Arabidopsis thaliana: one gene and its partners. The protein of the gene in region 1 interacts with the protein of each later gene in a pairwise test. Each region holds a gene or a part of one and is shown in the gene's direction. Other genes may lie near its edges. The genes, in order: AT2G38510, AT1G48870, AT1G33250 and AAE3.

Region 1 (3,816 bases):
TATAAATGGAGAATGCGATGTTTCAACATCCGTCAAAGGAGAAAATAGCGGCAGCGCCAAATTCTCTGCTGGTCTCCGTCGCATCCCTTTCAATGAGGCTTGTTTCTTTTTCTTTAATTTCTCTTTTCTTGTTCTTACATTTTCTTCAACAAAAAAATTCCAATTAGCTTTGACAAGTCATCACTCTGCTTATTCTTTGATTTCATAGTTTTCTTGTGTTTTTGTTTGTACTACTAGTTTTCGTGATCAGGACCATCCTAATATAGAGACGTTTGCTACGTTTAACCAGAGAATTTGGTGATTTTTGATGGATTATTATATTGTTTTCAGTCACTTTCGCAGTATTTTTTGGGTCTGGTAAATAATATGTAGTTCTTGGAAATTGATCTTATACTGGATTGAATGCTTCTTTTGACTGTTTTTATAGCATTTTAACCGAATATAATGCATCCCTTTTAAAAACATAGCATGAATAATGCTTCATCTATCTTTCACGTACTTGAGAAATACAATGTTGAAAATTCATTTATATATAAGTTTTCTCTGTATATATATATATATATATATATGTGTATATATGTTCATATTTATGCCTAAAGCGTTACTACTTACTACTAGTATGATAAATCCTCACTTTCATGGACTGAAAGAGATGCTTTTTGTGTTGTACTTACTTTATATTTCTTGACAGTTGGGTTGTACTTACTTAGGAAAGTGTTCTATATAGGTTTCCTCTCACTCTATTCTTTTTATCAGTTTCTTTACTTAGTACAAATATAATCTAGTTACTTTCCGATTTATTTTCTTGAAATCCTTATCCGATTGTTTATGAAATGTCAATAGTAGTTCATGATACTTTTACAAGTATCTATGCGTAAAATATTTTTTATATGTTTTTAAAATGTGGATATTCTTAATGAAGATATCATGAAATGAAAGGTAATATCTAAGCTGATTTTGTTTTTTCAAAAAGAAAACAAAAAAGGTGAGCTTTTAAAAACCCATGATGATTTTTATTTAAAAAGATCCTAGAATGTTGGTACAGTTAGCCATTCGCTTTTCTGGCACTTGTGAATTTGATTATATATTCAGTTCTAAAAGTTATAGAGTTTAAACCTTTTTCTCTTCCTTTTTCAACTTTCTCATCCCAGTCCCAGTGGCCATGTGATGCGACCATCTTCCTCGTGCTTACAAATTGTTCTTAATTTTATAATATGATAAAATATCATTTTCCGTATTGTAATGTAATGTCCTTCTGTTTCACAATAAAATTAATTTAAGATTTTATTTGACAAAAAGAAACAATTAAGGTACAATGATTTTTTTAATAACTCATGTATAAAAAGCTCATATAAATACCATTTTCATACAACTTATTAGAAAAGAAATTTGTTTGTTTATTGTGATAAAAATATTAATAAATGATATACCAGAAAATTTAATATTTTTAGTGAGTGCAATATCGTTAATTAAACGAAATTAAATCACGTACAAAATATTAAACATGATTAAAAAAGGATATTAAAGACTAAATCATATTTTGAGGATAATTTTTTTTTTTTTAATATACAACATACTCGTGTTGCGCTCTTTCTATACACTAATATCTTCTCGAGTGCGTTTTGCTAGAACTAGAAGCCTATAGAACATGTGAAAAAATAAAGAGTTGTTCAATTGAAAAACCTAACAAAAATAACATAATTTTTTAATTTTATTTTTCCCATGCAGGTGGGAGAGGAGATGGCGTCACTCACAAAAATAGCTTGCCCGATTGTGATGACATCACTCCTCATATTCTCAAGATCAATAATCTCAATGTGGTTCTTGAGTCATCTCGGAAAAGTCGAACTCGCTGGTGGTGCACTCGCTATGGGCTTTGGAAACATCACTGGAGTCTCCGTACTTAAAGGCCTTTCCGTTGGTATGGACCCAATCTGTGGCCAAGCCTTCGGAGCCAAACGTTGGACCGTACTTAGCCACACGTTTCAGAAAATGTTCTGTCTCTTAATTGTCGTCTCTGTTCCAATCGCCGTTACGTGGCTCAACATCGAACCCATTTTCCTACGGTTGGGTCAGGACCCAGATATTACCAAGGTAGCCAAAACCTATATGCTCTTCTTCGTCCCTGAGCTCTTGGCTCAGGCCATGCTCCATCCGCTTCGAACGTTCCTTAGAACGCAAGGCTTAACATCACCGCTCACGATATCTGCCATTGTATCCATTCTTCTTCATCCTCTCTTCAACTACGTCTTTGTCGTGCGTATGCGTTTAGGCGTTAAGGGTGTGGCCATCGCAATGGCTTTCAACACTATGAATATCGACGTGGGACTGCTCGTTTATACGTGCTTCTCGGATTCTCTAATCAAACCGTGGGAAGGGCTCGCTTTGCGGTCACTTTTCCGCGGCTGGTGGCCGCTGCTTTCTCTAGCCGCACCAAGCGCTATCTCGGTGTGTTTGGAGTATTGGTGGTATGAGATCATGCTTTTTCTTTGTGGGCTTCTTGGGAACCCTAAAGCAAGCGTGGCCGCCATGGGAATATTGATTCAGACCACCGGGATACTATACGTAGTCCCGTTTGCTATTAGCAGCGCCATTGCAACCCGTGTAGGTCACGCTCTTGGAGGCGGCCAACCAACACGGGCACAATGTACGACCGTGATTGGCTTGATACTCGCGGTAGCGTACGGTTTAGCAGCTGCTGTTTTTGTGACCGCGCTTAGGTCGGTTTGGGGAAAGATGTTCACGGACGAACCGGAGATTCTCGGGCTTATTTCGGCTGCGCTTCCGATCTTGGGGCTTTGCGAGATTGGAAACTCGCCACAGACGGCTGCTTGCGGAGTCTTGACTGGGACGGCTAGGCCTAAAGATGGAGCACGCGTTAACCTATGCGCATTCTACATTGTGGGCTTGCCTGTGGCAGTTACGACCACGTTTGGGTTTAAGGTTGGGTTTCGTGGGCTATGGTTTGGACTGTTATCTGCGCAGATGACGTGTTTGGTAATGATGCTTTATACGTTAATCCGTACGGACTGGTCTCATCAAGTGAAGCGGGCAGAGGAACTTACCTCCGCTGCAGCCGACAAAAGCCATTCGGAAGACGAAACCGTCCATGCTGAAGTACAAGACGATGATGATGTGAGTAGCAATGATCTGGAGATTGGTTTACTACAAAATACGAATTGACTAGTTTAGCTAGAAATGTTAAAATTATCAATCGACAATTTTTAACGGATTGTTAATGATATAGGAAACTTTTTTTTTTTGGCAAACTAAAAATACCGAAGATAGATTTGTGTCCGAACTGTTAACTAAGATTTTGTGAAAAGACTCAGCCATTTAATTGGTTGAGCTTAGCTTTTTCTAACACGCAGAAGTATGTAGTGAGAACAGTTGTGACGAATCTATCAAGGATCAATCAAGATCAATCACAATTCTACTTATGTAAACTATATATTCTGTAATTAGAAGTCTCTAGAACATCTAGTCTGTATATAAACAATGTAAATCATCTCAATACAAATCATCCAATTCTATATTCTTTATATGGTATCAGAGCATCATCGATACCTAAAAATAAAAAACCTAAAAACAGCCGCCTCTCTCCTTTCTTTCTTCTTCTCCCCCGTTGATTTTTTTATTCCTCTGTTTTTCAAACTTCAACCATGTCGAATGTTTCTTCTGAAACCGTCAACCTCAACAACACCTCCATTGTTCACATGAACATGTCGAATGTGACAAAACTTACGGCCTCCAATTACATAATGTGGAGCCGCCAAGTCCACGCTCTCCTTCACGGCTACGGTCTCACTCAATACC
Region 2 (6,432 bases), on another chromosome or scaffold:
AACGTTACATGATTTGTCTAAGTTAAATCACATATATTTTTTGGATATAATAAATAACATATTTTGCTAACTAATTCGTATAAATGAGTAATAATTTTAGTCTAAATAATTATAATACTCGATTATTCGTCTATAATATATTTATATGTTTGTGTAAATTCAACAAAAAAAAAAGAAGTAAATTCGTTTTTATGTTTTAAACTGTTAGAGATAAACCTATGGACTTATGGTGTATATACAGAATTGACCGGTCCACGGAAAAGTCAACAAAACCCAGCAATTGCATGGGACTCGAGACAGTAGCTAATAGTTTTTTTCCTCCTAAATACTTTAGTTTATCTTATATGGTACAATTAGTCTTCTTCTTTTTTTTTGTCATCTATGGTACAATTAGTCGTAGTGCCTTTTTTGGCATCAAGATAGTATTAATGAGTAGGAGCCTATTTTAGGCTTCGTGGAAAGATGAACTCACATTACTACGTACATCGATGAACCACTATTTCTAACTAGTTTCGTATCACTGAATATAAAACTAGCTAGTTATTTCCATGACAAATCCGAATACAACCACGTATCATTGAATATATATCCATCACGAATTCAAACTCAACCACATAAAGACACGAAGCAAGAATACATAAGCTCTTTGAAATTGGAGACGATGCGTGTAGAGTACTCAACTTACGAATGAAATGTATAACGTTGTCAACACTCTCCCATTTATACACTTTTTCGTAGTTTAAAATAATAATTAAGCAAAAAGAAAAAGTTCACCAATTTGAAACATTCCACGTTCAGGAGTTATCCACCATTAGTCTGTACTAAACTAATAAATCAGCTTTTTATTTTTATAACTGAATATACTCATTTGCTTCATGGTTCAATTATTTGCATGAATCACATTATCATGACGAAGATACGAGTTAGGTTTGGTACTGTATAACAAAAACAAGTTGCAGATTTTGTTTTTATCAATTATTAATTGGTTACCAAATTACGTGCGTACTTTGACCAATCAAATCTCTTGAGATTCGAACAATATCATCCAATGGTTCTCAAATCACAAAAATAAAAAGGTAGCGAGTTGTCGCATTATGTTACTTCATAAACTTTTTATTAATTTATAATTTGCATCCAATGAATCATTTGGTAGATTTGTATTATGCAGATAACATTTTGTGTATTCTTAATGTCTGAACATAAATAGAGAAGATTAAAAAAATAAAAATAAAAATAAAAAAAATAGAGAAGATTATGCGTCCTACAAGCTGGGGAAGAAATAGTTGTCATAATCAGTTTCAATAATTATATCATTTTCTCTTAAACCAAAGTTTCAATAATTTTAAAATGCAATCGAATAATCTGTTTGGTTATTGTAAAATTTTTGTAATTATATACTATAATGTATATCCACGTTATCATTTATGAATATTTTTGAGAAAAATAAAATAATATACACTATAGTAATATACAAATAACTATATATATAAGCACACATCGTCGACCACTAATGCTACATTATATTATATGAGATCTCTCTCTCTATATCTCTCACCTTCAAAATTTGAAGATTCCGCCATAGTTGCATATCAAGCTAGTTCGAGTCCAAAACTGCAGTCAAGATTACTGGTTCGTGTTCTTACACATATATTGTACTATAGTTTGCATAGTTACTCAGATTCTTGTTTTTTTCGTTTCAATATACAGATGATTGTATAAAATGATGCTTTATAGTTCTAACTTTTATACGTTCTAAAGAAGCAGGTTAAACTTAATTAAATTGCTGTTATCAAAATGTAACTACGTAAATAAGTCTGAATACGAACCTTCTTTGTTGTATACACTTATGACACAAGAAATTAACTACTGCCATTTTCTCATTGCCATTACATAGCGAAATATATAAATGAACTTACAACAAGTAGTTAACAAAAATTAACTGGTGAATGTATGGTAAAACTTATTGGATGTTGAGATACAATACGACCGCATATTTAATATCACCTACTATATATATATATATATATAAAATACCATTTCTTATTATTCTTATTCATCGTACTTAATATGAAAACTTTATAAATATAGCTTTAATTTATGTATTTTTTCGTTCTAAATACTCTTTCAAACGAACCACAAAATCTGTTTTTTAAACGTTCAAAACTAAAATTTTAAACTTTTTTTTTGGTCACATCTAAAATTTAAACCTTTCCGGTCTTGTTACATTCTGGATAAATTCTGGCCCCAAATGTAGCAATTTTAATGGTCTCTGGATATATGATGATTCGGTCATAATAAAATCTCCCTAATCTGTGGAAGGATTTAAACAAATAGTATTTTTGGAATTCTATTCAAACAAGAAAATATTGGTAGACAAAATTAAAATTTACCTATATATAAATTATGAAAATTCATTTAATTAGAAATTAGAATACATAGCTTACAAAATGGAAAAAGTAGAAAAGCATATTTACTCATTTGTTTAAAATAAGACAAAGCAATGTCAGGAGAAATAAAGGTAGGAATCTTCCGTGAAAATGAAATGTCTTTTTACACTACGGTAAATTTTCACAACCACAATTAATTCACTGCCTTACCCAAAGATGATCATGAATGGTAAAACTTTAGGTTAATAATTTGCCAATTATTTTTAAAAAAAGTATTTTAAGAAAATATTAAAGTGCATTCAAGAAAATAACACTATTGTTTGTGTGTAAGCAGCTAAGAAAAACTATTGTCAGAAAGAATTTTCGAAATTCAAGGGTAATTTACTTAATCTGGGTTTTGTCGACAATCGTGTATTTTCGTTAGTTCTGCGTAGCACTAAACATGATTCTGATCCAAACTCTTTTTTATTTTATATTAAATCGCCGTTGTTGCAGAGAGACATAAGCCCAAAAAGCACGAAAACAAAAGACAACAGTAAAAGAGAGTCTGAGAGATTGGTCGGGAGTAAGAAAGTTTTAATTGTCTCCTGTCTCCTGAATCGCGGCCACTTCGCCGTCAAAAAGATCTCAGAGATTCTCATTGGGCCGCCATTGATGCACCCAACCACTCTCTCTCTGAGACATAACGTAAATGTTTTGTCTGGTTTTTATATCTTCCTTAATCACACGGAGAAGAAACTTGAAATAACAAATCTTGCTTTGGTTTGAAGAAAAATCAAATCAAACCCGAGACCTAATTCCTCGTCGGCTATCAGAATTTGACTTCTTGTTGTGGATCATTGCTTCTTAACTAGACAAAGGTACGAACTTTTATCCAGACTTTTGATTATTCTATTCACTTCCTGAGTTTCAGGAACCGTCTTTTTTTGTTTAATCGATTAGTTTAAGAGATGTGTGGGTTTTTCATATTTTGTGATTAATGTAAGTTCAGAGAATTGAGTCGGGTTAGTTTTGTTGTTGTTTACTAATGGAAGATTTGGTTTTTCGCACTCTTTGTTAGGTTTTAAACATTTGAGGGATTTACGGTCCGTGAACCGCGTTGAGGCTACAAGAAGAAGGTTTATATAAGAAAAAGGAGGAAGCTTTTTAGTTTTTGGTGGAAGTTGTGATTGAAATGATGAGTGTGGGAAGAAGTGAAGTTGTTGTTGATGATTTGTTCTTTGATTCATCTGATGTTTTGTCTATTGGTGAACAAGTAGTAGTAGAAGAAGAAGAAGTAGAAGAAGCAGAGTTTCAAGTTTGGTCTGGTGAGCCAATTAGTGTTGAGGAACGTCGTGTACGGTTTCTCAAGAAAATGGGTTTATTAGAAGAGAGGTGTCTGGAGAGGATGGTAAGCGATTACAGTGATGAGGTTACTAGTTCTTCTTCAGATTCATCTCTCTGTGATAGTGGATTGCAGTGTTGTGTTAGAGAGGAGAACTATGGATCAACTACTTCAATCTCTGATGAGGAACTAGAAGGAGTGGATGATGATGATGATGATTCAGAAGAAATCTCAAGTAATGCTTCCACCAGTCCATCGCGGAGTTCCAGCAAGAAAAGCGCGAAAAAATGGTTGTTCAATTGCTTTTCAGCAGGAGTGAAGGATAAAGATTTCAAATACAAATCAAGTGAAGAGACAATGAGCAAAGTGAAAGTGAAGACTAACAAGAAGAGTCATGTAGAGTTATCTGCAGCTTACATGGTACAAAAGATTAATGGACACAAAGGGAAAATTTGGACATTAAAGTTTAGTCCTGATGGTAAATACTTAGCAACCGGAGGCGAAGATGGAGTTGTAAAGATATGGCGAATCACGCTATCGGATTCTCTACTCGCCTCTTTTCTTCGACAACAAGAACCAATAAACCAACAAGCAGCATTGGTTCTGTTTCCTCAGAAAGCTTTTCATATCGAAGAAACACCGTTTCAAGAACTTTATGGTCATACCGGAGATGTCTTGGACTTAGCATGGTCAGACTCAAATGTGAGTTTATTACTTTGTTTTTCTTTTCTTGTTTTTGAGATTTGTTGATTCATTACTTATAAAATCTGTTGTCTTTGGTGATTTGGCTTTGCAGTTGCTTCTTTCAGCTTCTAAAGACAAGACAGTTCGGTTATGGAGAACTGGTTGTGATCAATGTCTTCATGTCTTCCATCATAACAACTACGGTAAGTATTTTTTGCATCTCAAGTTGTTTGTTCTGAAATCTTTGCAAAAACGTTTGTTAACTCACTCATGTTGCTTTTGTCTTTCAAATACAGTGACTTGCGTTGAATTCAATCCTGTAAATAAGAACAACTTCGCAAGTGGGTCTATAGATGGAAAAGCTCGAATCTGGGGTTTGTCAGAAGAAAGAGTTGTCGCTTGGACCGATGTTCGTGATTCCATTTCTGCAATCTCTTACCAACCAAACGGAAATGTAATTTGACATTCTCTGTCTATTCTCTACTCAAAAGATCATCCTTTCTAAAAAAACTCAACTTTGCTCTGTTTTTGCTTCAGGGGTTTGTTGTTGGTTGCATCACTGGGAACTGTAGGTTCTATCAAATCTTAGATAACGATGTGATAATGGATGAACAGATTCTTATCCGGGGAAGGAATAGAATCACCGCCGTGGAGTTTTGTCCTGGAAGCTCCGAGAAAATTTTAGTATCTTCTGAAGATTCGAAAGTTCGAATATTTGACAAAACACAAATGATTCACAAATTCAAAGGTATAAAAAAAAATCTTTGAATCTTGATTTTACACTTCTTGAAATCTGTGTTTTGATTATTTTTTTTATAAAAAAATTCAGCTCCATCGAATTTTGGGAGACAATCGTCGGCGTCGTTTGTTTCTTCCACCGGAAAACATATTTTATCAGTTAGACGAGGTGTCGGAGTTTATCTCTGGAACAACGATGCGTTTCCTTCGAGGAAAGGCGCAAAATCGTCGCGTTCTTTCGAGTATTTTCATTCGCCGGGGGTTTCCGCGGTGGCGGCTTGGACTCAACCGGAAACAAAAGTGTCGAAAGTAGCCGGTGATGATGAAGAATCACGGCGCGTTATGAGAAAAATACAGAGCTCTGGGAGATTGTCTCGCTCCTGTCGTGTTACCGCCACGTGGCCGGAGGAGAAGCTCCTTATGAATGTAGGAAGTTACGATAGTAACCTTCCCGTCGGCGAGTTTGATCTTGCCGAGGCGTGGAGACTGGTGATCGTGACCGTGAGCTTGGATGGGATGATTAGGACATTCCATAACTATGGACTGCCACGTACATTTTAGAGATCGATAATCTATTTTTGTTTTAAATAGGAGAAAACAAAAATTGATTTTTTGTTTGGTTTTTGTTTTGGTGTCTAAATATATGTAGATTTTCTAGTTTCTAGTCCTTCGCTTCCAAGTTCCTCGATGGCTCAATGCCAATTTAGTCAGATAAGATTATGCTGCAACTGCTAGAGCGACTCTCTCCTACTTCATTTTAGTCCATACTAGTTCATTTTATCTCCAAGAAAATGACTCCGTTTTGCTTCAAAGCTCAAAGATGATTCTTTTTTTAATGGGCCCTCTTGAAAAATGGGTAAAATCTTGGTCTTTTTACAGATAGCAAACATATACAAATTATGGAGAAAACAGGATTATATTGATGCAGCTTCGTTGTAGACAGACTTGTAGTCGTTTTCTTCATTTTCCCATTCCTCTGCTAAATTATTAAATCCAACAAAAACAAATTTTCTTCTGTTGCTTGATAAAATCTATGTGGAATATCTATATCTACACACTACTGAAGACCAAGAAGTAAACATTAGTTTGCCTGATCTTCACCTACCTCAAACGAGAAGTAGAAGTTTTTATGGTGACTTTTGTATTTAGAGAAACAATGGGATTCCAGTTTAAGTTGGCTCTTTTTAACTTTGCTAACATATGCCTGAAAGTGGAAGACAAGAACTTGGTTTAAGAAACCTCAAGCGATTGCGATTTTGGGTCTTAAGCTTGAAAAAAGTGTTGTATGGAACAAACAAA
Region 3 (4,739 bases), on another chromosome or scaffold:
AACGTGTAAGGTGGTCTTGTCCTATGCCTTGAGTATTGTACATTTGTGTGTACATACACAAATTTCTCTTGAAATTGACCCCAATATACCCAACCACTCACCGACGCATTTTTCATGCTACATTTTAATTTAATGTGATATTAACAATTCAATGCTATGATTTCTCTAATTATATCATTCTTCACATACATTTCTCATCGTAATTTGTGCGGTCCTTTTTATGAGTTGCGAGAAATAAATTTATAAGACAACAACGAGTAGGTGAGCAGAGTTATTTTTCGGAAATACCGATGTATTGTTTAATGTGGGGAATTAACTCATTGAATTCTAAATCAAGAAGTAGAAAAAAAAAATCTGAAATTAACATGAGTAACTAGGTTTTTATATGTCATACCGTCATCGGCTAATAATATGTATATCATGTTACATTAGGTTGTTTGATAAATTTACTACCCCTAGTGATATAAACTCGATGAGTAGTCCGATTATAGAATTCAGCCAACCTTTATAATTTTGTATAGGGCTAAAACCATTCATTGAAGATCACAAACAATCGCTAGCTATAGCTATATCGTGGCAGAGGGAGATGAGGATGGGGAAACAAACACTCCATGTTGGTCACTAATTTGTAATACAATCTGTGTACAATAACAAATGATCATTACAATAAACGCAAAAATGTACTCGAACACGAGTTCTCATAAATAAACACAATAAAAATTATGCATCCAAACTTTATATTATTTTTCGTTTTTTTGTGATTTTTAAACATTTTTTCTATGTATAAAATTACATGCTAATTTATTGGTGTTTATTTACATGAACATTTGTGTTTATGTAAATCTTCTTCTACTTGTGCAAAATACATTATGTTTTTTAGTTACATTTATATCGATTAGAAAAATACCGACCGAGATAAGAAACATTTTTTAGATCAAACATCGTTTAAATAATGTATAAAAACGTGACGATGTAGAGACAAAGAGAAAGAGAAACAAGAAAGAAGAACAATACAAAAGAAGTAAATGAGAGAAAAATTGAGATTCTCATCTTCTTTTTTTTCTAATCAATTTGTAAGAATTTCAAAGTAGAGTTTAATAGAATCTCTTTACGGTGTTAAAACAGAGATCTACAATTGTATCATGTAAAAATAGAAACCTATAGAAAGCTTTGTATATTATTGTAGAGGCTATTTATACGTTGTTTTTACTAGAAGGAGAAAAAATCCTAAAGTAAGTTTTCAGTTCTGTAAAAATTGGTTTTTCTATTTGTTACTTATTCAGTTAAGTGAACATATATTTTATGTTTATTGATCTGTATCTATATTCTTGAAACAACATAACTTAAAGTTCAAAAAGTTATAAACAGATTTGACGGATTCTAATACCCTGAAATCGTAGGTTTTTATATGTTTTCATAATAAACGTTAGACTATCCTTATTGATGGTCTCTTAACATAACTCTTAGTTAAGAGATATATCTTATATCTAACAAAAGTGTTTTAAGAGACTTTTGTTAGTTATAAGCTATTATAAGACATGTCTCTTAACTTAATAATTGTTTTAAGAAACCATCAATAATGATACTAGAAGAATTTAGAAATAAAAGCGTTTCTTCGAAAAAAAGTAGTCATCTTTCAAAGTTAAATAAAAACAAAAAGGATAATAAAGATGGGATAACGAATCTGAATTCTGACATGACAGTGACGGTTGTTGGGCTTTCCGATAGTACAACCAAATGCCACCTGGGAACTGAAGTGTACATAAATTGGGGTCACCGGACTGTGATGTTTGAGAATCTTTTGTACCATACTGGGCCCATATTAGGCCCGATTACTACAAGCCTAAATTAGATCTAAGCCCATTCACCGAGGCAAAAACTTTTCTTACCAAAATCCGCCCCTAAATTTTGAAAAATCAAAATCAAACCCCTGAAAAGTCAAAGCGACGGCGAAAGGAAGAAGAAGAGAGAGAGAAAAAAACGAGACGACGGTGGCGATCGAAACCCTGTGCCCTAATTTAAACGGAAACTTGGTTCGCCGCCGTTCTGCGTCGCCCGGCGGCGGAAATGTGCGCTTGGGGCGATGCGTTTAATTCTCACCGTCATGTGCTCATTCATTCCTTACCTTTATTCATCTTCTCCTCACCGTCCTTGCTCTTCCCCAATCTCTCGTCCTCCTCCTCGAATCCGTCCTTGTCGTCTCAGTCGTTTCGCCACCGCATTAGTCGCTACCTCCGCTCTTCTTCTCGCTTCCGTCGCTTGGCTTTCTCTCGTCTTCTCACCAACCACTTCCCGTTGTTGGCATCTTCTTAAAGATTGGGAAGACAATCATCTCTGGAACAAACGGTACCATCATCCAATTGTAACTCCTCCTCCGCCGCCGCCGTCGCCGCCGTCTCTTCCAGCTCTTCCGTTATTCGATCATGAATTTAGAAATCGTAGTCTCTCAGAGATTGATAAACTTGATCTGTCTATGAATCACTTGATGTTTGGTATTGCTGGATCTTCACAGCTTTGGGAACGTCGTAAGGAACTTGTGAGATTATGGTGGAAACCTTCTCAGATGCGTGGACATGTCTGGCTTGAAGAGCAAGTTTCTCCTGAGGAAGGTGATGATTCTCTTCCTCCTATAATTGTCTCTGAAGACAGCTCTCGTTTTCGTTACACTAATCCTACTGGTCATCCTTCTGGACTTCGAATCTCTCGTATTGCTATGGAGTCTTTTCGTCTCTCTCTCCCTAATGTTCGGTGGTTTGTTCTTGGTGATGATGATACTATCTTCAATGTTCATAATCTTCTTGCTGTGTTAAGCAAGTATGATCCTTCGGAGATGGTTTATATTGGAAACCCCTCGGAGAGCCACTCTGCTAACTCTTACTTTAGTCATAACATGGCTTTTGGAGGCGGTGGCATTGCCATTAGCTACCCTTTAGCGGAAGCTCTCTCCCGGATTCACGACGATTGTCTCGATAGATACCCGAAGCTATACGGTAGTGATGATCGTCTCCACGCCTGCATCACTGAACTCGGAGTTCCTTTGTCCAGAGAGCCTGGCTTTCACCAGGTATGTTTCATCATCTCTGCTTCTATGATCTCTTGGATCTTCAATCTGATGATAATGCTAATGTTAGGTTTTTGTGACAGTGGGATATTAAGGGAAATGCTCATGGTCTCTTGTCCTCTCATCCTATTGCACCATTTGTCTCAATTCATCACGTTGAAGCTGTTAATCCTCTCTATCCGGGATTATCTACATTAGATAGTTTGAAACTCTTGACAAGAGCTATGAGTTTGGATCCTAGGAGTGTTTTGCAGCGATCGATCTGCTATGATCATACTCACAAACTGACATTTGCGATATCTCTTGGTTATGTTGTACAAGTTTTCCCAAGTATTCTCCTACCACGGGATCTTGAGCGAGCTGAACTTTCTTTCTCTGCTTGGAACGGGATAAGTCAACCCAGTGAGTTTGATCTTGACATAAAGCTTCCAATTTCGTCTCTCTGTAAGAAGCCTATCCTCTTCTTCTTGAAAGAGGTTGGCCAAGAAGGTAATGCTACACTTGGAACGTACTCAAGATCCTTGGTAAAGGATGATTTGAAGACGAAGCTTCTATGTTTTCCACGCTCTCTACCTCTGCACAAAGTGGATAAAATCCAGGTCTCAGGGTTTCCTCTGAGTAAAAATTGGCACTTGGTGAGGTTTTCTTGTTTATCTTTTTATCACCTAATGTTTCTGTCATTTTCTTTATGATTTTGCTAATTGATGATTCTCCACTCTTCTTAACGACAGGCGCCGAGACGGTTGTGTTGCAGAGCAACCCCAACTACTACTAACGAGCCTCTCAGATTAACAGTTGGGCAGTGTGGTAAGATAATTTTGGGTTCCACGATTAGTTCTCAATGAACACTTATGGTGAATACTGGATCTCTCTAAGCATGTTGTTTCAGCTCTATCCTGTACTTGTACATAGGTAAGATCCAGAACCTTGACTGTTGTCTGACCTAGAATGCTAATATGCCCAAAATTGAATTTGTCACTCTTTTGTTTGTTCCATGTTCCACTTTCTTTTTTTGTACATCTGAGATTTCACGAACTCAACATTTCCTGTTGAGAAACGAGTGTAATGTGTACAACAACAAATCTTTACCAGTGAAACCTATCCATCTGTGTGTTAAGTAAGAATGGTTTTGTTTTGTTTTTTCCATATCTACTACATTGGCAATCTTGATATAGCCACATAAATATTTGTGGGTTAAATATATTAAAGAAGAATATATCCACTAGTAGAGGGTGAGGTAAGTGGTCCATAGGATTGTGGATTTAGTGCGGATTTAAGGAAAGGTCTTTGGTTGGATAGATTTTTAAGATGTGTGTGTGTGTTCTAAAACTAAGGGTTTAAAATCAAGAGTGTTGTGGTGTGAGTTGACTTGTCATGAACTCTCTGACACACTGGCAAAGTGAGCCCAGGTTTTGCTAGTTGTTTTGTCGTAAGCCTTGAAATTGACATTATGATGCATCATGGCTTCTATTTAAAGGGGGTCATATAGTTAATGCAATGATCAAAATAGCCCCGAGTTAGATTTTTGGTGAGTTAGTAGTGTAAGTAAATTCTTTGGATTTTGACTTTGTGAGGTATTTATTTATTTGGCTGCCACTGAAATTGTAGATATATTTGTGAGAGGAGGAATATGGATTTTACGTGGGTGTGAAAATTCATGGAATTACAAAAAAAAATA
Region 4 (5,348 bases), on another chromosome or scaffold:
AAACTTGTTATACCTCACACGATGCAGAATGTTGTTAAACAACACAATATACTGTACAATAGCTTTGCTCTCAGAACCATCTACAAAGTAAAAAAAAAAAACATACAAAATTACTTTCATTGAGTTCTCTATTTCTGTGTGTTGCTACTAATCAAACAATATAGAGACTAACCAGGAGGTTCAATGGAGAAAGCTTGAACACAATTGTGCTGAATCAAGAGATAGAGAATATCTTTAACTTTGTTATGGTTGATATCTGATTCAGCTAAACGAGAGATGTCTCGTGAGGAAAGAGGTCCTTTACGTAGAAGACATTCACAAACTTTCTGCAACCAAAACCAAATTCGTTATACAGAGATTATAAATTCAACACAAGTCTCAGAAGGGTTTCTCAATTTACCGAGACGACGGAGCCGAATTGGACGGTGATGATATGGATGGCGTAGACAATGCCAAACTCAGACATAGACATGAGAATCAATCACCAGGAAGTCTCTCAATACTGATGAAGCAGCCTCTGCAGAGCTTGACGGAGTTATGGCCGATATAGAGATGTTTGCCAATCGATTGTAGCCTACTACTACTAAAAAGCGAAGCAATCGTAATCTAGCGACCCTAAAGTTTAATTTTTCCAGCGATCCACACGTTCGAATCCAAAATTTCGATAATCTAACATGAACCCACCAATATAAGTATAAGAAAACACCAACCCAGGGCTAGGGCTTTTGTTTTTTATAAGGACTCGGGCCGGCCTTAAATATTTAGCCCATTTTAACATCCCTAATTGTAGGTTATTAATTGTTGGCCTAGAGAAGTTTGGGCCTATCAGGCCCTAATAAATTGAATGTATGGTTTGACCCAAGAAAAAAAATTAGTGATGGAACGAAATGTACTTGAGAATTTTCAATGATTGGGCCAGATGACAATGCTCTACTTAAGAAGAACAAACACAAACCAAATTCTTCTATTGTATTTGTATGTGACGGCTTACATGAAGACCATGTTTTTACTTAGTTAGGAGAATGGAAAATGACTTTTTCAGCTTCATGAATATGACTTATATTTTAAAACACTGTCGTTTTCATCTATACGAGATTTTTGTATTTCTATTCATAATCATATACATAATTTTAATCTTTAACAAATAACAAGGTAAACTAAATCTTTGATTAGTAAATTCTACTCTGACTCTCTTCTAAGCTACGCATGTTTAGTGGTTTAAATTAGTTTCATTGTTGAATAATTATCCAAATCCACTATTGTTTAGTTAGATAGTGTGCATGTATCAAACCAAATAAAATAATATAATAATTTGTATGTATAGACAAAACAAAATTGATTACTTCAAAAAGATATATGTCTCATTATATTTAGTCTTCTACTTTTTTTCTATAAATAATATATTTATTCTTATCATTCAAAGTCATTTTTACCATTTCTTATTTTAATTTTACATTTTTACCTTGGTCAATTTAATTTATTAACAATCAAAATAAGGACGTTATCTTCTATTTATAATATAAAGTATAAACAACGTCAAGCATCTTCGAAACGTGATAATCCTAGTCAAAGACACATGTGCAAAGGCCCTAAAAGTGATTAAACACTCATAGGCTATTTTTTTAATGAAACTATTCTTTTGTTTGATAATACATACACAAACTATTTCAAATTCCTATGAAATAATTCATAAACCGTAAATTACTATCGCATGCTTGCCGAAAAAAAATATTTTCAAAAGTTAATTAACTAGCCGTTTCGGTTCAGTGTTTGTACCGGAATCGAAATTAAAAAAACCACCTCTTCAAAAACCGAAACGTCGGTCTAATCGTAAGGATATATATCAGCGACTCCCACCGTTAACAAAATAATTAAAAATGAAAACATTATGACCACACGATCAATAGAAAATCCGCTACGATGATAACACGTGGCATCATCTTTTAGCCATTTTTTGCTTCCACAGATACTGTAGTAATTGAATATAAATTTATAAATATCGCATTTGCTCTCTTCTCTGCTTTCACATTCTCTCCTTCCTCATCATCGTTACTCTCGTGTTTATCTCTCCGACGTAACCATGGATAGCGATACTCTCTCAGGATTATTGGAAAACGTCGCCAAAAAATTCCCCGATCGCCGAGCTCTCTCCGTTTCTGGAAAATTCAATCTCACTCACGCGCGTCTTCACGATCTAATCGAACGCGCCGCTTCACGCCTTGTCTCCGACGCTGGAATCAAACCCGGCGATGTCGTTGCTCTCACCTTCCCTAACACCGTCGAGGTATTTTAAGAGGTTTTCATATATTTCGATTTAAAAGCTTCGTTTCTGGTTTTGTTTTGCGTGCTGAAGAATCACATGGGAAGCAGAATTTATGAATATCTGTAAATCGCTTCTTAATTGAGAAATTTTGATTTCCGGATTCAGATGATTTTTTTGGATGAATTTGGTTTTGATTTTTTTTTTTTGTTTTCAGTTTGTTATAATGTTTTTAGCGGTGATAAGAGCTAGAGCCACGGCGGCGCCGTTGAACGCAGCGTACACGGCGGAGGAATTTGAGTTTTACCTCTCCGATTCAGATTCAAAGCTATTGTTAACCTCTAAAGAAGGAAACGCACCGGCTCAAGAAGCAGCTTCAAAGCTGAAAATCTCTCACGTCACCGCTACGCTGCTTGACGCTGGCTCGGACCTTGTACTATCCGTTGCGGATTCAGATTCCGTCGTTGACTCAGCGACGGAACTCGTTAATCACCCGGACGACGGTGCTCTCTTCCTCCACACTTCTGGCACTACGAGCCGTCCAAAGGGTGTACCGCTTACGCAGCTCAATCTAGCTTCATCCGTCAAGAACATTAAAGCTGTGTACAAGCTTACTGAGTCTGATTCTACGGTGATTGTTCTCCCTCTGTTCCATGTTCATGGATTGTTAGCTGGGTTGCTTAGCTCGCTTGGAGCTGGTGCTGCTGTAACTCTTCCAGCTGCTGGTAGATTCTCAGCAACAACATTTTGGCCAGATATGAAGAAGTATAACGCTACATGGTATACTGCTGTGCCGACCATTCATCAGATCATATTGGACCGCCACGCGAGCCACCCTGAGACGGAATATCCTAAACTCCGGTTCATCAGGAGTTGCAGTGCTTCTTTGGCTCCGGTAATGCTCTTGTTTCCAGTCAATTGTTGAGGCGTTTGTAATGCACAGTGTTTTGTAAAACGTTGGATTGCTTTGGCTTTCAATAACTTAATGACTTATTTTGTCTTGGTTTTTGTTAGGTGATATTGTCCAGGCTTGAGGAAGCGTTTGGAGCACCGGTGCTCGAGGCCTATGCAATGACAGAGGCAACACATTTGATGAGCTCAAACCCCTTACCAGAGGAAGGTCCACACAAGCCTGGGTCTGTTGGGAAACCGGTAGGTCAAGAAATGGCGATCCTTAATGAGAAAGGCGAGATCCAAGAGCCAAATAACAAAGGAGAGGTTTGTATAAGAGGTCCAAATGTGACCAAGGGTTACAAGAATAACCCAGAAGCCAACAAGGCAGGTTTCGAGTTTGGGTGGTTCCACACTGGTGATATCGGTTACTTTGATACCGATGGGTATTTGCATCTGGTGGGTCGGATCAAAGAGCTTATTAACCGTGGAGGTTAGTCTCATTTACTCTATTTTGATGGCTTTACTGTTTCACAAGAATACTAGTCTATGTCTAGCAGTTTATTTGTATAGTCTCGGTGGAGGCTACTTTGTGCAGTACTATGTTAGACTTGTCAAAGAAAACCCTCCAACAAATTAGAAATGAGACAAGACAAAGAAAGAGGCTACTTTGTGCAGTATCATGATCTTTTGTATGAATGAGTTAGATTTTCTATGTGTACTTAATTATAATCTATTTCAGGTGAGAAGATATCTCCAATTGAAGTGGATGCAGTACTCTTAACGCATCCTGACGTTTCTCAGGGTGTTGCATTCGGTGTTCCTGATGAGAAATATGGGGAAGAGGTAAACAAAACCTGTGCTTAAATTGTCTCTAATTTGAATTTATGAATTGGTCTCCCTTATCTACCATTATGTCCTGCAGAATCATCAAACATCATGTGAACTTACTTATCAATGAGCTGTTAATAACGCTGTGTTTCCCTGGTTTATTGGTTTATCAGATTAACTGTGCGGTGATTCCAAGAGAAGGAACTACTGTAACCGAAGAGGACATTAAAGCGTTTTGTAAGAAGAATTTGGCAGCTTTCAAGGTGCCAAAGAGAGTGTTCATCACTGATAACCTCCCCAAAACTGCCTCTGGTAAGATTCAGCGCCGTATCGTCGCACAACATTTCCTTGAGAAGCCCTGAAACACACAGAAAACACCATCTTGCTCGAAAATCATCGGTGATGAGTCCTAGTTTTCACTTTTCACGCAAATGGATATGCGTTCTCTATTATTGGTTCTTGGTTTAAAAGTTACTTTTTATATGTTTCATGGTGGTAAAGGTTATAGATTAAATCACAAAAGTGGAAATAAAAGTCGATAAGTGATTATTGAAGTACAACAATAAAGGAGAGTTTCTTTTTGTTGGTGTTGTCTCTGCGTCTTTTTGTTACTGATGCTCTTGATCTAATGGCCAATTTGACAACTAAAAGCGTACTGCCAAAACGGGTAAAGCCAAAGGACAAATATTACATTGTCACTTTTTAAAGCGTTTGGTTCGTTGAACAAACCGACCGTTTAGTGGGACAGGTAGACTTTCACTATGTCCCAAATTATGTTCCATTCCATGTTATAGCTAACTAATTCTGAACTTGAGCTCCAAATTTGAATTTTAAAGTTAACTTTTGTGATAGAAGAAAAAAAAAAAAAAAGTTAACTTTGTGATTTCAATATAGAACTCAATACGAGGATAAAACATTTACCATAAGGATTTTCCTAGATTCAGGCATAGTCATAGAGATATAAGATCAAACCGTACAAAACTTATTTACTTTTATTACCGATTAAAACTTTGTATCGTCGAATTCACTAGACAGAATGGATTAGTTAAAATTCTACCAAAAAAACGGAGAAGAAAATAAAGATCGCATGTTTTCTAATTTATACTACTCGATACAATTCTGACAAGTGCTTTTACTCTACACACCAAAACTTTATACGCCAATCTAATTTTACGAACCGGTCTTGTTCTGCTTCCTCCAGTACTTACTCTCCCACTGTTCGATTCTACTAGTCGTACTCTGTCTCCTTTTCAAAACTGAATAAAATGATGCCGGATCATACGGAGGCGGCATGGCGCAGGGACCTGTCTCAGCTGGGCGTTTTACGAGTGATTCCATCATAAACTTTCGTTCATTTCCATCCCTC

What was found.
Region 2: the proteins of AT2G38510 (region 1) and AT1G48870 interact in a protein complementation assay, tested with the Arabidopsis thaliana proteins (one large-scale study listed by BioGRID).
Region 3: the proteins of AT2G38510 (region 1) and AT1G33250 interact in a protein complementation assay, tested with the Arabidopsis thaliana proteins (one large-scale study listed by BioGRID).
Region 4: the proteins of AT2G38510 (region 1) and AAE3 interact in a protein complementation assay, tested with the Arabidopsis thaliana proteins (one large-scale study listed by BioGRID).

The regions. Positions count from the first base shown.
Region 1 is NC_003071.7:16,122,263-16,126,078, forward strand, and holds AT2G38510 (MATE efflux family protein), read left to right. Parts: upstream 1-1,722; coding exon 1,723-3,183; 3' UTR 3,184-3,273; downstream 3,274-3,816.
Region 2 is NC_003070.9:18,071,587-18,078,018, reverse strand, and holds AT1G48870 (Transducin/WD40 repeat-like superfamily protein), read left to right. Parts: upstream 1-1,613; 5' UTR 1,614-1,629; intron 1,630-2,766; exon of another isoform or gene 2,767-2,882; 5' UTR 2,883-3,247; intron 3,248-3,447; 5' UTR 3,448-3,561; coding exon 3,562-4,413; intron 4,414-4,507; coding exon 4,508-4,598; intron 4,599-4,691; coding exon 4,692-4,849; intron 4,850-4,932; coding exon 4,933-5,143; intron 5,144-5,224; coding exon 5,225-5,694; 3' UTR 5,695-5,896; downstream 5,897-6,432.
Region 3 is NC_003070.9:12,056,691-12,061,429, reverse strand, and holds AT1G33250 (beta-1,3-n-acetylglucosaminyltransferase radical fringe protein, putative (DUF604)), read left to right. Parts: upstream 1-1,637; 5' UTR 1,638-2,083; coding exon 2,084-3,064; intron 3,065-3,144; coding exon 3,145-3,696; intron 3,697-3,792; coding exon 3,793-3,906; 3' UTR 3,907-4,232; downstream 4,233-4,739.
Region 4 is NC_003074.8:18,158,027-18,163,374, reverse strand, and holds AAE3 (AMP-dependent synthetase and ligase family protein), read left to right. Parts: upstream 1-1,888; 5' UTR 1,889-2,080; coding exon 2,081-2,284; intron 2,285-2,477; coding exon 2,478-3,155; intron 3,156-3,274; coding exon 3,275-3,644; intron 3,645-3,893; coding exon 3,894-3,997; intron 3,998-4,155; coding exon 4,156-4,344; 3' UTR 4,345-4,810; downstream 4,811-5,348. Other genes in the region: AT3G49000 (RNA polymerase III subunit RPC82 family protein), read right to left, coding at 1-80, 173-326, 401-472; AT3G48980 (O-glucosyltransferase rumi-like protein (DUF821)), read right to left, coding at 5,153-5,348. UniProt on the Arabidopsis thaliana protein: Oxalyl-CoA synthetase acting exclusively against oxalate. Follows a two-step reaction mechanism, wherein oxalate first undergoes adenylation by ATP, followed by a thioesterification in the presence of CoA to yield oxalyl-CoA.